Kluyveromyces lactis: one gene and its partners. The protein of the gene in region 4 binds, or shares a complex with, the protein of the main gene of each other region. Links are inferred from orthologs where the notes say so. Each region holds a gene or a part of one and is shown on either strand. Other genes may lie near its edges. The genes, in order: CDC11, CDC12, CDC3, BNI5 and SHS1.

Region 1 (2,995 bases), on a different chromosome or scaffold from region 4:
CAAGCTCTACTAAAAACTGGGCAATTAAAAGACTTTCCTCGTCACTTAAACGAATATCTGTTGTCCCTATCTGGTTACTCATCATCTAAAAGCTTTTCCATCCCACATCTTCATACATGATGTTTTCTTGTCAGAACACGGCACACGCCTCCTGGCATGCTGTGTGAGATAATGTAAAGGAGATTTACTAGGTCATGGTACACCTGGTATCCCTGGTACCCCTGGTACTACCCATTTGGTGCTCAGAAGCCATCCTTCTACCGTCTTTTTCGTCTTATTTTCGGCCTCGAAGTAAGTGGCTTTTATATGGTTTTCGTTCGGGAATTTTTTTCTTAAATGAATGAGGTTTTGCTTGATCGTTAGGGCATCGATAAAGTGTAGCACACGACTAGCAGCCAGTAGCCTGAAATGGTTCGTAATGCTTTATCTATCTTATGGTAATAACTGAGGTATAGGTTAAAGAAAGAAACGAAATATGTAGTTCTATTTAGTGTGCAGGAAGGGACAACAACTTATTGTTCCAATTTGATTCCTTCCTGTTTCAATTGGGCTTCCTTTTCTAGCCTCTCTTCGATTTCTCTTAATTCTTGCTCTCTTTGCAGCAATTCCTGTCTCTTCAATTGCAATTCTTGTTGCACTCTTTCTTCGAAAACCCTTAATCTTTCTTCTTCTAGCTTGATTTGTTCTTCTCTTGCCAAGTAAGTGTCCTGGTTCGATGACGCGTTGTTAGAATGTAAAGAAGTCGAATCATTGTTCCCCAACGCAGATGGTAATCCATTGCCCCTCACAGATTCTCTACCAGATACAGCGGGTGATCCTAGGTATTCGTTGTTCGTGGTGCTGAAAGCTCTGTTATGAGTCGTAGTTCCTACAGTTGGCATCTCACCGGACAAGGCTTCAGTTCTGTATCTTTCGTATAGGATCTCATGAGTAAATTCCTTCATATCGTGTAAATGTGAAATGAGTAGAGTGTTCCTTAGGACGACGAAATCAGAGATGTTAGCATCCTCGACGTCAAGGGTTCCCCATGGATATTTTCTACCACGAATCACGGACCCGTCTGCAGATTCAAACACATCGTTGGAACCGATGATAGAGAAGGGCAGTAAACCTCTGAGATATGTGTTTGTTTGATAATCTTCGTCTGACGCGTCTTCCTCATCGAATGGGAAGTTGTAGATAGGTAGCGAATAATAGTCGATATCCTTTGCGATCAATTTCTTGTTCAATTTCAACTCTTCAGCGGTCAAGGAATCTGCTTTACTGATAACGGGGATCACGTTCACTAGAGTACCTAGTCTTCTGATGAATTCCACGTCAATCTCTTTCAATCCATGTCCAGTAGGATTGATCAAATATAAACAACAATGCACCCTACCATCTTTAAACCGAGGATTTCTCCTTACACGGCTCTCTTCCAACAAAATTTCATCGTACTGGTGACGAATGTAATCAGAGATAATGTCAAACGATGGAGAATTATCCAAAGAGTCGCCGAATCCCGGAGTATCAATGATATTCAATTGGATCTTAAGACCTTCTTCGTCTTCTAACTCAACGATTTCTTCCCTCAATTGCACATCAATCTGCGTATTTGTGTCCGTTGGTAACATAATCGTGGTAGAAGTATCTACCACTTTCTGTCCACATAGAGTGTTAATGAACGTCGACCTACCGCACCCAGACTGACCAACAACCATCACCGTGAACTGAATTCCTCTCTTCAAGTTCTTCCGTTTACGCAAAGCGGCAGATGCCTGAATAATACTTGCCATTTCTGTCTAAATTACAATTGTAGCAGTGCTTTTGTTTCCCAATTCAATACCCCGACAGAAATTAGGTGCTAATAAGACCTCTGAGCAGCTCTTCTGTTAATTGTGTTGTTTACGTGTTAGTTGTTTGTTTAAAGTTTCACGTTTCCGATCTGATTCTAAATTCGTTACTCTGAGGAATCTGGAATTTAGTATGGAGGAAACAGAGAAAGAGTAGGTATTCGACGGTGAAAGAGCATTTGATGGATGATAGAGGGGCTCAGCTAATTGAACAGAGGTTATAGATTGTTACTTGGAAGTCAGATTACGGAATAATCAATCCAGCGATGCACAATTGCCTTAAGAATGTGGATTTGAATGTTGACACATCCGTACATCACATACATATTTATCATTTAGGACGAAATTCGATTCAATTTCTCATTTCATCAAAGCTTTCTCTTGACTCATCTCGAATTGTGATGTGGAACCAGTTAATCATCTCATGTTCAAGACGATTTTATATTTAAAGGAACCCTTAAAGGGCATTGAAATAATTGTAAGAAGAAACTTTCGATAATTTCTTATCGATTGGTTATATTTGGTTGATAATTATCTAGTAGGGCAACTACACTATACTGTGATAAAAAGGAACTAGGTTTTCGCATTAATTTGATATCATGTCCGCTAAAAGAGTTGTTTTGATCGATAACTACGATTCGTTCACCTGGAACATCTATGAATATCTTTGCACTGAGGGTGCTGAAGTTTTAGTTTTCAGAAATGATAAGATTACTGTGGAAGAAGTTGAAGCATTGAACCCTGATATTGTCATGATTTCACCGGGTCCAGGTCATCCAGAGACCGATTCCGGGATATCAAGAGACTGTATCGCATTCTTCTGCGGCAAAGTCCCTGTGTTTGGTGTCTGCATGGGTCAGCAATGTATGTTTGATGTCTTTGGCGGTGAAGTTAGCTTTGCTGGAGAAATTGTTCATGGTAAGACTTCACCAATATTCCATGATGGAAAAGGTTTCTTTAGAAAAGTACCTCAAGGTGTCGCAGTGACGCGGTACCATTCGCTTGCTGGCGCCAAGGAAACACTTCCTGATGTGCTTGAAGTTAGTGCAAGAACGGAGACTGGAATTATTATGGGTGTGAGACATAAGAAATACACTGTGGAAGGTGTGCAATTCCATCCAGAATCTATCTTGACCGAGAGTGGGCATCAAATGATCAAGAAT
Region 2 (3,067 bases), on a different chromosome or scaffold from region 4:
GATACAGACAAGCAATCACATCTGCTGGTTCCGGTTGTATGGCTGCTTTGGATGCTGAAAAGTACATCACTGAATTAGAATAGATACACATTGATAAATTTGGTGAGATTCCCATATCAAAGCTTTGATATTATGTCTATATCTTATATATAAATATCATCGCGACTACTCCTTTAATTGAAATTTATGTTTGTTCCTAGTTTCTCAGCAGGAGGAAGATTTTCTTTCATTAGTCTATAAGGCTCACCTTTCCACCGCTAGTCCAATATCTTCTATACTCTCCCTTCCGAGTAGAGAAAAAAAGAATAAATAATGATAACATATCATCTTTACAGCTTATATTGATATATAGGAAAGATCAATAGAAAGTAGTTTAAAATAACAACTGTGTGGACATCGTTCTACAAGGTTCAGAAATGGCATTATTCAATGAGAATAATGTGAGAATGGAAAATAACATAAAAATTGGGTTGTTAAAAGGAATATAAATGGGAATGAAAAAAACAATTTCGAACCATTACACCCTAGCGTTTTCTTAATTTCAATGTGGCCACTTGATCTTCTAATTTCTTTACTTCGGCTTGAATCTTTTCCAAATCACCGTTCAGTTTAATTCTTTCATTCACAATGTTTTGTTCCCACTGTCTGAATCTTTGTTCTTCGGCCTTAACTTGATCAGTGAAGTATTTTTTTAGTGCGTTTTCTTCTTCTTTGAACTTTGGATTATGTGATAATTTTCTTGCTGGTGCAGCAACGAAGTTGTTCGCCGATTTTTCTCCTAGTTCGTTATCGTTAGACGATCCATTCAAATGAGATTCCAAACGTAATCTCCTATAGGTTTCGTAATGTAGCTCTTGAGTGGATAAGACAAGATCTAACAGATTTGTTCTCAACAACAACGATCTCAATTTGCGGAAATCACAGTGTTGATCATTCTCTACTTCCACTAACCCCCATGGATATTTTCTTGCAACAACTTTGGTACCACTACCGTTATCGAATTGTTCTTCTGAACCAACAATTGCAAATGGCATGGATTCAATTAGTTGTCTAGCATGTTCCATAGCGGCTGCATCATCCTGTGTCTCATTCAAAGGTGGTGTAAAGATACGAATCTCTTGTGCCTCAATGACCTGTCTAATTCTAAGCTTGAAATCTTGTAATTCCTGACTTGTCAAAGTATCAGCCTTGGCGATTACGGGAATTAAGTTAGCACGAGTGCTGATCCTCTTCATAGTTTCAATATCCAATGGTTTCAAACCATGTCCTGTAGGTCTGATAAAGTACAGTACAGCGTGTACTCTTAGATCAAATTTCACATCTCTGTATGGTTGTTGTTCTTGACGCATATAGGAATCGTGTTGATCGTCTATAAAATCAATGATCTGTTGCCACGATTTATCGTTATTGATGTTGTCACCAAACCCGGGAGTATCAATTACATTCACCTTCAAGGTAAAATTCTTCTCCTCTAGTTCTGCACGTAATATATCAATCTCCACGGTCTTCCTAATTGGCCCTTGCATCGAACGGCCTGTATGGGAGTCAGATGGCTTCAATGTTGCCTGGAACAACGTATTTATGAAGGTAGTTTTACCCAAACCACTTTCACCGCATGTTAACAAGGTGAATACTCCACCTTGTTTGGATACCAGCTTGTAGATCTGATTTGGTAAATTCGAGATTCCTACAAATTCTTCCGTGGTCATTGTTTCAAAGTTCCGTTGCAATTAATTGGTACCAATTATACTATCTTTTGCTGAAGCACACAATGTTATATTTGCTAATGAACAGAAGGTCAGATTGTTACTGCAGGTAGCTACGATAACTCCTGTAAACAAACTGTAATTCCAATTTCAATTTTAATATAGGCTTGTTTTAGCCAGTATTCTATATTTGAACAAAGTTTCGAATTGTTTCGTGTCGAGGAATCCTAGGTTCCCAGGAACATTTCAGAGATCTCTCGAGCAAAGAAGGGTAGGGTAATGAGAAGCGAGTCACGTGCTTTCCAATGTATATTCTGTTATTTCTCGAACCGTGGATCTATATAGTCATTAACATATATCAAACTGGTACATAGAAAGATAATCACTTTGCGTTAAATAACGGCAAATCTACTCTCACTGCTAAGTAGTGCCTTCCTACCTTTAAGGTATCGCTGTGTTACCAGCTTCTACATTTTGTAACTATGAGTATTATTTCCTTTACGAAGAAGCTTTTGAAGAGCCCGCCTAGTTTGACTCCTGCAGAATTGCACGAAGTTATCGTTTACATAATTGATACGCTATCGAAGGAATTTACTGTGGAAGCTGTGGTACCGATTGCCTCTTTCCTTTCAGTGTTGAGAGCAACTGGATTGGATCACAAAGCTGAATATATTGCAGCTGCTGCCTCGGCTGTGTTGAAGTTTTCAACTGTTGTCGATTCAACGACCTTGACTCATACTGATGATATTGTCTTAGATATCGTCGGTACAGGTGGTGACGGCCAAAACACTTTTAACGTGTCTACTTCTGCAGCCATTGTCGCTTCGGGCATCCCAGGCTTGAAGGTTTGTAAACATGGTGGGAAAGCATCGACTTCCAATTCAGGTGCTGGTGATTTGATCGGAGTTTTAGGTTGTGATTCATCTAAGGTGACTGCGTCGACTTTACCTAAAATTTGGGATGAAAATTCGTTCACATTTCTATTGGCTCCTTATTTCCATGACGGTATGAAACATGTCGCTCTGCTCAGGAAAGCATTGGGTATCCCAACAATATTTAATGTCTTGGGACCGTTATTGCATCCTGTATCCCATGTTCAAAAAAGAGTTCTAGGTGTCTTCTCCAAGGAATTGGCACCTGAGTATGCAGAAGCAGCAAGACTTATCTATCCTGACAGTGAAACATTCGTCGTTTGGGGTGAAGTTGGTCTCGATGAAGTATCACCTGTAGGGAACACTATTGTTTGGCATGTGACCTTGAATGGTACCGTCGAATCATTCTCTATAAACCCGTCAGATTTCGGTTTACAAGAGCATACTCTTGCAGAATGCCCATCGTTGGGCCCTCGCGAGAATGCAAGG
Region 3 (3,415 bases), about 330 kb from region 4:
GTACAGCCTCTCTTTATATAAGTATTTCGAGAGATTTATGCTGAACGCTTACATATTATCATACTGAGTTGCACTTACTACATCCACATACATATTTCTTTACCTTTATTGACTTTCCTTTTTTTTTTTCCCTCTTGGGCTTTAGTAAAAGAGTCGAGTACAGCAGTAATCTCTCAACGACCGAAAGCGACAGAAAAAAGGCAAGTCGAAATCTCCCTACTAAACTGTGCGAATTACCTTGATTTAACCGCATTAACAGACCCACAAAATTTACGTTAGTTGTGTCGCAGCTAGCTGGGCACTTAACCGTTTTGCTTTGTTACATGTACTGTATGGTGATGCATTACACTCGTTGACATTGTGTTGATTAGTTAGCTTCAGCTGGCTTAGTTATTGAGATTCGTAGTTATACATTTAGATAAAAGATAGACGGATGTAAAGAAAATAAAGACATGTCTGGAGATCTTGTGAAATACAGATGAAGTTCACGAAGACTATACTATATTTATCATCTTACTCATTTCTTAACGTAAGAAGCCTTTCTTCTTAGCAGGAATTGGAGAGCTTGTTGGTTGGTTAGCAAGGGAAAGTTCAAGTTGACGCTTCTTTTCTTCTAACGCTTTTAGTTGGCTTGTAAGCTTATCCTTCAATTCCTTGTGTCTAGCGAACAATTCAGCTTCAGATTTCTGTAACTTCTTTTCCTTTTCTTCAACTTTCTGTTGGAATACTGCCTTCATTTCAGCTTCCAATTTAGCTAGTTTGACTTCGTGTAGTTGTTTTTCCTCCTTTTGTCTAGTTTCTGGATCGAAATTCTTGAAGACACTGTTGTCTTGTTTGATACCCAATCCTAATAGCTTTTCAGATCTATATTTTTCGTATAATACTTTGTTAGTCCTTTCGCGTAATTCTTCCAAGTATTGTCTAATTAATAGATCTCTTAAATATACAAAATCAGAATGTTTTGTGTTGTCAACTTCGATGACACCCCATGGGTAAGCCCTACCTCTAACTTTTCTACCGTCTTCTGTAGTGACTTGTTCAGTGGAACCGACAATGGCAAAAGGAATCTTTTCAAAGATGTTTTCAGTTGAAGTTTCATCTCCCAGCATAGAATATTGAGGTGGTTCAAACAACTGCACGTTGGCTTGTTCTAGTTGTTTCTTGATGGTGGCTTTGAAAGTGACAATTTCTTCGTCAGTTAAGATGTCAGATTTGGCGATAACGGGGATCAAGTTACATTTGGAATGAACCTGCTTGCAGAATTCCAAATCCAACGGCTTCAAACCATGACCAGTAGGTTCGATAAAGTAGAGACAAGCATGAATCCTGTTATCTTGCAAAGTAGTTCTTTGAATCTTGTTTTCAGACTCGAGATATTGGTCGAATCTACGATTTATTTCATCCACAATTGGCTTCCATGAATCTGTGTTATCAATAGAATCACCAAATCCTGGTGCATCAACCACGGTCAATTGCAATTTCACTCCATTTTCTTCGATTTCAGCTGAAACGGTTTCGATCTTGACTTTGTTTTCTTCTGCTGGACCGTTTTCACCATTTTCCTTCTTGACACTGACATCGTTGCCATTACCATCACCCAAATCTAAAGACTGTACTCCATGGGATAGAGCGTCTTGCTCGTACAACTCTCTGTTGAACAACGTATTTATCAACGTAGATTTACCCAACCCTTTGTAACCAACACATAACAAATTCAGGTTGAATCCACGACGAATTGACTTTCTATGCCATTGTTTGGGTAAATTAGCAAAGCCCACGTATCCATTGATGATACGACGAACAACCTTGAGGTTTGGCTGATCGGGCAAAACTTGGCCCAATGTACCATTTGATTCTTGCACAGCTGGCGCGATTTCATCACCATTTGCATCTGAAAAAGTCTGCTCAACATTGTTGTCTTGATTCACGCTGTCCAATCCAGTAGCTACGGAGTCCTCATGCTTCAATGAAATAGCTTCTGACTTGACTGTATCGTTAATAACTTCTGCCATTGTGGATAATAATATTTTCCAGTTTTCTTTCACACACTGCTATGGTTGTTGGCTAGCCTGATATTCAATGCACTCCTAAACCGAGGCTTTTAAACAACTTTCAAAGTAAGACTTGACACCTGTGTATGCTGTTGATCCAGATCAAAACCGAATTTACGTGTATAAAATTATAAATAATAAACCAGATAATCTACTCGATTTAAATTTCTATATTTGTGGTTTAGGTTTTAAATCGCGTTCTTTGTAAATTTCTTCGAGACATCGATCTGTCAATATAGAAAAGGAAGAAAAGAAGCAAAAATAAGATACTGAATAGGCACAGAAATAAGAAGTACATACAGACGTAAAACTACTTTAAGCAAGTCTCCTTTAGTTGATTTGGCTTCAATATCATCTGCCCTATTTTTGGATGTATATATTGGCTAGTATTTACGGCCTTTGTCTTTTTCTTTCAGTGTAGAGTCCATTGCAATGGAACGGTATTCAAGCAAGGTGTTTTAGATTCGAGGCGTAAGAATTCCTAAGTCACGTGTCAACAGTTACCCGGTTATTGTAAATTTACACAAGTTTTAAATCAATCACGTGATTTGGATTCACCGGTTTGATTTCTTTGATAACGACATGTATTTTAAGCAATTGCGCAATGCGATGAATATTACGCGTCTCTGTGCATTATTTAAATTGTTTGCGTGTTTTAATGATTGCTGCTGTTAGCAATCACACACTGCAAATCAATTGTTTAACAATTTCAGTCCATTATCGTAGAATTGAATCTAAAATGTCGGACAAGTTTGATAAATTATTGACAGAAGGAGCCAAGCACTATGCTGGTAAGAATTATGAACTTGCAGTCGATTCTTATGCAGATTTAAATCAATTGTATGACAGTGAGAATGAGAATCCAAACCCTGAATATTTGTTTTTGTATGGTAAGGCATTGTACCAATTGGCTTTGAGCAGGTCTGATGTCTTTGGTATGGGATCTAATGTTAAGAGGGATGAACATAACGAAGAACAAGACGAAGATGATTCTGCCTCGAAAGGACCTGGGCTGATTCAATTTGGTGAAGAAGAAGAAGAAGAAGAGGAGGAGGAAGAGGAAGAGGAAGAGGAAGAGGAAGAGGAGGAGGAGGAGGAGGAGGAGGAAGAGGAAGAGGAAGAACAAAAACAAGATCAGGAGCAAGAGGAAGAAGATCAAGTCGAAGGCCAAGAGGAAGTTGACAAAGATGATTTCGAAAACGCATGGGAGATTCTAGAGCTTGCAAGGTCATACTATGAATCCAGTTTGAAAGAAACACCAGACAACGAGGATCTAAAATTAAAACTATCTGAATGTTATGACCTGTTGGGTGAAGTCTCACTAGAATGCGAAAATTTCTCTCAGGCTTCTCATGATTTCGAAG
Region 4 (2,707 bases):
CATATAGTTTATGTGATGGAATGGGAACAGGTTTACCTGGCTTCGAACTGGACCATTCTCTTGGTTCTGGCCTTGAGTAGGATACGGTGACCGCAATTCTTGCAACGGACGGGATCAGTTCTGGAAAGCGAAAGTCTGCTTGAACACTCTGCGCAGATGTATTTCAAAGTGGCAGTTCTGCTCTGAGCTGCACCAGCAGCAGCAGCATCTAAATTCGTTGGGATTTGGAAACCTTCACGGGACATCTTGACACTTACTCTTAAACTATTGGGGCCACAAACGCACTCACTGACTCGACTATCGGAGGATAACTCTCGTATCCGAGACAGTATGTTTCAGTCAAAGCTTCTGATTCCTATGATGAGCTTGTCAATTCAAATTTCTTACTAAGGTCAGAAGAATTTCTTTTGGAAATACACGGTAGGGTAATACTTAAAGGATGCATAGAAATACACACACATTTATATAGACACGAATGAACGTATGTATGTATGTAGTACGAGATTTCCAGGTTACGACCTTCCTACCCAAAATTGGCCATTGGCCCCCATATCTACGTTTTTCCTTATTTGACGGGATAATATTACACCTGTATCGTAACGTTGTTTGTTTTTCTTGTCGAGGTATTCTTGCAATTTTTCGATGGCAGTGATCAGTTTGCGTCTGTCTTCGAGCGTTAAGGTACTTTCGTTTTTAAATTTGTGGAGGTAATCGATTTCTTTTTGTAGTTTGGTACATTTGACCGAGAGTGAGTTGTAATTTTGCTGTAATTGTTCAAAGTTTATGTCTGAAATATCTGAGGAAGTGCTTGAGACCCTAGAGCTGTTTCTCGATGCGTTACGGGAGCTTGGTTGGCTACCAACATGTACTACGCGGAACGGGTTGCTCTTCGGCGTGAGTATACGTGGTGAAGTAGGTATGTTGCTTGAGTCAGTGTTTGGTGCACGAGGGACGGTTCCGTTCTGAGTATGGCCGATTGCTGCAGGAGCAGGGTATGTACTTGATTTATCAGTGTTAGGTACAATCGTAGCTGCTGCTGCTGCTTCATCCTCTTCTGTGCTGGTGGAGACTTCGATCTTCTCAGAAGGTATTCTCTTCGCTGGAACAGAGGTTACGGAAACAGCGGGAATAGCTTTCTCAGCAGTTGGTTCAGTTTGTACTTCTGCCACCACTTCTGCCACTACTGCTGCCTCTAATTGAGTACCTGGTTTCTCCTCTTTTATGTCTTCTCGCTCTTCCGCTTGTAGTGCCGTCTCTCTGCCACTACTTAGTGTTTCCGGTACCTCGTCCTCCCCATCGCTTTTAATAGCATTCTGCACAAATTGATCAACCTGGTTCGCCGTTAGCTTCTGCAACTCTAAGTAATCCTCATCTTGATCGTCAGAAGAAACATCCTGTTTCGTCTTAACCGTGGTCTCATGAATGCTCAAGTTCTTATCTATCATCTCGTTCATCTCACTTATCTCTAACTCAATTTGAGACATTCGTTTCTTTACCTGCTCTGAATCCATAATTGAAAAAAATAGGACGCCACTATCAACAATGTGACACTTTTATTCTGCCACTGATACGCTTCAACTCGTCAACTACTAGTACAAACGCCTTTTATTAACACATACACGTATTGGTGACTGGAAGTTTCCTTTTTCCTTTGTTTATATTGTTTAGTTTTTGAATTTTTTCACAGTATGGCAGTTTATATGTAAATAAGAAAAGAGACTTAGATCCCAATTTTAAGGAAACCTGCATATTTCTCCTTCTTCTCTTCAACTTGACACATTTTTTGGGTACTATATTGGTATCTTGAAGGTGGTATTCAAGGTACTTCAGGATTGCCGTATAAATATATAATTGCTGGCAGATATACCTATTAAAAGTGAGTGGAAAGGTTTTTCTTTTTGTTTCAATTTTACTGAGTATAGATCTTCCAGAGAAGAGTCATTGCATGACTAGAAAACACCGTTATGAATAGATTTCGATCGAGATATGGCCAAAACAATCAGGATTCTAGATCTAACGCAGATGATCAGAACACGTTAATGTCTTTCCCGCATTCTACACCAGGGGAAATGGAATCTGTGTTTTCTGAATCAAGTACCATTGGAGATTTCGAACGGCTGGGTTTTGTGAATCGAAGCCCTCGATTTGCCAGTAATAGAACCGTTATATTTGCTTCAGTTATGCTTTCTAAGGGTTTTTTTGCGTGGGAAAATCAAGACACGTTTGATACATTTATTTCCAACCGTAGGAAACTTGATAAATGCTTAGATTCCGGTAAAGGGTGGCCATTATTTCATTACGTTTCTGTAGGGTTCAAATCATATTTCAGGAAAAGCACCCCAGTGTCCAAAATTTACAAATACAAGGTGGTTGATAACGATAAAGTCGATGATATCAAGGAGCCCAATAAAGAGCTTCTTCATCAAAACGAGAAAAGGTCTCTTTTCAAAGTTGAATTTTGTAACGTTTTCCGGAACGTTATCAATAGTGAAGGGATTGTATACCATAAATTCGTGTGCTTCCAACCTGATGGGATCAGATGCTCAGTTTTGATGATGAATAGCATTGGACGAAGGAACACTGATTGTCAAGTCTATGAACCTATTACTGATTCCTTATTGAATCTCAGATGGATTGGAACAACAGGATATACGTCTGTCTTTGGTGCAAACGATTTGAAATTGGTGATCTTGGATGATCAAGTTCC
Region 5 (3,572 bases), on a different chromosome or scaffold from region 4:
CAACCATTTTTCAATTCGGTTAAATCTCTTTTCCTATTATTTCCCCCAGTGCCTTTTCTCATCGTCGCTGAATGAATGTTGTTTCTTGATGTTTTTAATTGCCATCGGGAACATTATTTTGCATTTTTCGGTTTTCTTAGTTCTCTCCAGTTACACTAGCTATTTTTTATCTTGAAGCACTGGATGAACATAAATTTTTCACCAATCTTTTTTATCTCATAATACTATGTCATCTGAACAGATAAATTCCATTTATTGATAAGTGGCACGAAAATACCTTAACTCATTATTATATTATATATATATATATACCTGTAACAGTACGTATATTTTTCTGATTTTTACATCACCATCTTAAACTCATCAAATTTGGAAACAGGTAGCAGATCAATCTAGACGTGACCGTTTGCAATATACAAAATAATCAATATTGTTTAAATTACATATGAAATCGTTTCAGGAACCAAACACTTCGACTTACAAAAATGCCAAAGAAAGATATCAAGACTGAATTCATTCTTTTTTGCTGATTATCGAAGCTAAATCGTTATAGGTTTCCTCTTTCTTAATGTAAGCACCTCCAGAAGTTGAATTTTGTTTAGTTGTATTAGTCTGGATAGATTCTTGAGATTGACTATGTGAGTTTTGTCTTAGTAGCTTTTCCTTCATCTTCAATTCAATAGCCTTTCTTTCAAGTTCTTGAATTCTCTTTTGTAACTCTTTGGCAGATTGTGCCTCCAATTCTTCAAGCTTTTGTTTCCTTGCTACTATGCGCTCGTGCTGAAGCATGTATGGGATATTTTCGGAAATATTCCGTAACTTTGTTCTTTCTGGAGAAGTTTGAATATTGGCAGGAGTAGATTTCTGTGAACTGGCAGAGATTGAAGCGCGAGACTCATCTCCTTCATCTACCCCGGTTAGACGTGGTGTAGATGGGGTTTCAGATTGAGGTGGAATTGCAAGTGATTGTTGAGACTTAAACTTTCCTGTATTTATTAGAGAGGCGAAATTTGACAAGGATGGAGCTGTACTGTTTCTAGTCAACCCTTTCATCAACCCTGAAGAATTACCCTCATTGTTTTCGTCATTGATAGAAGTATCTATAACTTCGTTGTTTTCAATGTCCCAGGCTGGCACAGACGCCAATTTCTCAGCACGGTAGTTTTCATACAACAGATTTTGTGTCGTGTCCTTAAACTCTTGCAAATGGGACCCGAAGAGAACCCTTTTCAACAATTTCAAGTCCGAAATGTTTTCATTATCGATGTCAATTTTACCCCATGGATACTCACGATAGTATTTACCGGTAGCATTATCGCGTTGGTCGGCGCAGATAATAGCAAACGGCTGAAGTCTCGCTAATGCCTTGTTCTCTTCAATTGTTTCTAGATCATCCTCATTTTCGTCAACTTCGAATTTGTAGATAGGAACGTTAAATCTATCAATGTCTTCCATAATTCTCTTCTTGAACCTAGTCAATTCATCAGGTGTGAACGAATCTGCTCTAGCGACAATTGGTAGAACATTTGTGTAGCGGGATAGTCTCTTCATAATTTCAACATCCAATTCACGTAACCCATGTCCCGTGGGTTCAATAAAGTATAACGCGACATGAACTCTTGTATCCTGGAACCTTGGATTTCTCTTGATTCTGGTCTCCTCAGCGAGTACCGAATCAAATTGTTGCTCCAAATATGAAGCAATCTCATCGAAACAGATCCCATTATTTAAGTTTTCACCCAGTCCCAGGGTGTCGGTGAGAAAGAAATTGATCTTTTCAGGGGTAGCGCTATCGATATCCTCACTAGATTTCGTCGTGATCTCCAGGGCAGTAGACGTCACAGTGATACCTGGTTCCAAAAACGGCGAGGCTGGATCAAATGCCGACATGTAGCTGGGAATACCGTTCATCGAATTGAACGTGACAACCTTAGTTGGTTGGATAATCTTAACATTCTCGTTATTCGTGCTAGCTGGAACATCTTGTTGATATCTATGAGGGAAAATGGTAGATTCCAATAAATTGTTAGCGAAAGTGGTCTTACCAGTACCAGAAGCACCAACCAACATCATCGAGAAAGTAATACCTCTCTTCTCCTTCTTTCTACGGAACACACTGACCCCATTGTTGCTTGGTGAGAATACCTGAGATACAGGACTAGCGGACATCTTTTTATTGCTTCCAAGATCAAACGGCTTCACTTTTCACTTCCAATTATATTCTAAATAGAATCGCCAAAGTACAATGATTCCTATCCAATTGATTGAAACTCGTCTCGTTCAATGGTTCACTTGATTAATGTAGCTCTGCAACGTATAGAATACACTTTTTTTATCAAAAGACGTTGTTGTTTCAGTCAAATTACATTCTCGTCTAAATTTAAATATGGAATTGATATCTTTTACGTGATATTAACCGTTTCGAAACTTTTCACCGATTAAAAGGCTCGAACATAGCCATGGGAAATGAGACACTCAAAGATACCTAAGGCAAGGACAAAAGTTACCAGTGACATGGGAACATCAAATGGTTACAGTTCGATGAACCACATATCGTAACTAGTCTATGTATTGGGGAACTAAGGCATATATACATATATATGGCGCCACTTCTTCACGTGACTTATATTTCTGTCTCAGTGATGTGAATGTATATGTCCGTCAGTGGATTACGTTATAAGTTGATAACGATCTTCGATCTAGGTCCGGCTAGCTTTGGTACTGCCTTGGTCTACATATGAAAGGCTTCGGATTTTAGCCCTTGCAGAAGGGCTCTATGTGTTCAATGAGATGCGTCTTTGTTTTGCAATTTTGTCGCTTTTAGTTCTTGCTAGAACATAAGGTGATGCAATGTGGAAATGTTGCACCTTAACGAAACGAAAGATAGAGAGAAAGAGAGAAAGAAATACACAGTAAGCGAGAAAATCTGCGGAAGCGGCAGCATACTTAAGGTCTTTGAACTGCTTGTTACGGACTTCAAAGATCGGCCCTCCCCTGCTACGTACACATACTGGAAGAGCCATGTCTGATATCGGGAGCACTTCACATAGTAGTCCGACAGGCATCATGCATCATCAGATCAAGCTCGACGTATTTTTGATCAAGGGTTACCAATTGATATCCAACGGAGAAGTCTTGGAGCTTCCCGAGCTATTGAATTCCACGATTAGTCCGAATCAGCAATCTCCTATATCGCTGAAACCCTTGGACGAACGTCATATGCAATATTTCCAAAGTCTCTCACAACTTTACGATGCTCTAGTGACAATCGTACCCTTAGATGAACAATCGAACGTACCCAAATCAAATATCGAATTGTTTCAGCGATTTCAACAGATATTGAAAGAGATATTGCTAAGTTATGACGTGAGCCCGTACAATCGGTATTTTTTGAAGTTGGATGAGAACAACTGGAAGATACGGGATAACGTGGACGATCCTCTATGGCAGGTATTATCTTTCAACATCGACAAAGTCTACGACAAGACAACGGGGTTAATAACACCGTTGAGGAGGCCAGGGAAAAGTACCACTGCGTCTGCTAGGGAATCGCCCGTGCTTGCCCCCAGACG

The links.
Region 1: BNI5 (region 4) and CDC11 share a complex: the UniProt entries of both Saccharomyces cerevisiae proteins name them as parts of the GIN4 complex. The link is inferred for Kluyveromyces lactis from reciprocal best matches to the Saccharomyces cerevisiae genes BNI5 and CDC11.
Region 2: BNI5 (region 4) and CDC12 share a complex: the UniProt entries of both Saccharomyces cerevisiae proteins name them as parts of the GIN4 complex. The link is inferred for Kluyveromyces lactis from reciprocal best matches to the Saccharomyces cerevisiae genes BNI5 and CDC12.
Region 3: BNI5 (region 4) and CDC3 share a complex: the UniProt entries of both Saccharomyces cerevisiae proteins name them as parts of the GIN4 complex. The link is inferred for Kluyveromyces lactis from reciprocal best matches to the Saccharomyces cerevisiae genes BNI5 and CDC3.
Region 5: BNI5 (region 4) and SHS1 share a complex: the UniProt entries of both Saccharomyces cerevisiae proteins name them as parts of the GIN4 complex. The link is inferred for Kluyveromyces lactis from reciprocal best matches to the Saccharomyces cerevisiae genes BNI5 and SHS1.

The regions. Positions count from the first base shown.
Region 1 is NC_006038.1:1,258,295-1,261,289, forward strand, and holds CDC11 (septin CDC11), read right to left. Parts: upstream 1,776-2,995; coding exon 513-1,775; downstream 1-512. Other genes in the region: TRP3 (bifunctional anthranilate synthase/indole-3-glycerol-phosphate synthase), read left to right, coding at 2,432-2,995. UniProt on the Saccharomyces cerevisiae protein: Septins are GTPases involved in cytokinesis that assemble early in the cell cycle as a patch at the incipient bud site and form a ring approximate 15 minutes before bud emergence, which transforms into an hour-glass shaped collar of cortical filaments that spans both sides of the mother-bud neck.
Region 2 is NC_006041.1:1,924,703-1,927,769, reverse strand, and holds CDC12 (septin CDC12), read right to left. Parts: upstream 1,710-3,067; coding exon 525-1,709; downstream 1-524. Other genes in the region: KLLA0_E21605g (thioredoxin-disulfide reductase), read left to right, coding at 1-83; TRP4 (anthranilate phosphoribosyltransferase), read left to right, coding at 2,189-3,067. UniProt on the Saccharomyces cerevisiae protein: Septins are GTPases involved in cytokinesis that assemble early in the cell cycle as a patch at the incipient bud site and form a ring approximate 15 minutes before bud emergence, which transforms into an hour-glass shaped collar of cortical filaments that spans both sides of the mother-bud neck.
Region 3 is NC_006040.1:348,267-351,681, forward strand, and holds CDC3 (septin CDC3), read right to left. Parts: upstream 2,013-3,415; coding exon 525-2,012; downstream 1-524. Other genes in the region: HIF1 (Hif1p), read left to right, coding at 2,710-3,415. UniProt on the Saccharomyces cerevisiae protein: Septins are GTPases involved in cytokinesis that assemble early in the cell cycle as a patch at the incipient bud site and form a ring approximate 15 minutes before bud emergence, which transforms into an hour-glass shaped collar of cortical filaments that spans both sides of the mother-bud neck.
Region 4 is NC_006040.1:682,536-685,242, reverse strand, and holds BNI5 (Bni5p), read right to left. Parts: upstream 1,512-2,707; coding exon 513-1,511; downstream 1-512. Other genes in the region: DNA-directed RNA polymerase core subunit RPC10, read right to left, coding at 33-245; KLLA0_D07964g (uncharacterized protein), read left to right, coding at 1,965-2,707. UniProt on the Saccharomyces cerevisiae protein: Required for normal septin function and cytokinesis. Its recruitment to the bud neck by CDCd11 and SHS1 ensures efficient localization at the bud neck of MYO1, the type II myosin of the actomyosin contractile ring.
Region 5 is NC_006042.1:1,938,286-1,941,857, reverse strand, and holds SHS1 (septin SHS1), read right to left. Parts: upstream 2,170-3,572; coding exon 514-2,169; downstream 1-513. Other genes in the region: GCR2 (Gcr2p), read left to right, coding at 3,022-3,572. UniProt on the Saccharomyces cerevisiae protein: Septins are GTPases involved in cytokinesis that assemble early in the cell cycle as a patch at the incipient bud site and form a ring approximately 15 minutes before bud emergence, which transforms into an hour-glass shaped collar of cortical filaments that spans both sides of the mother-bud neck.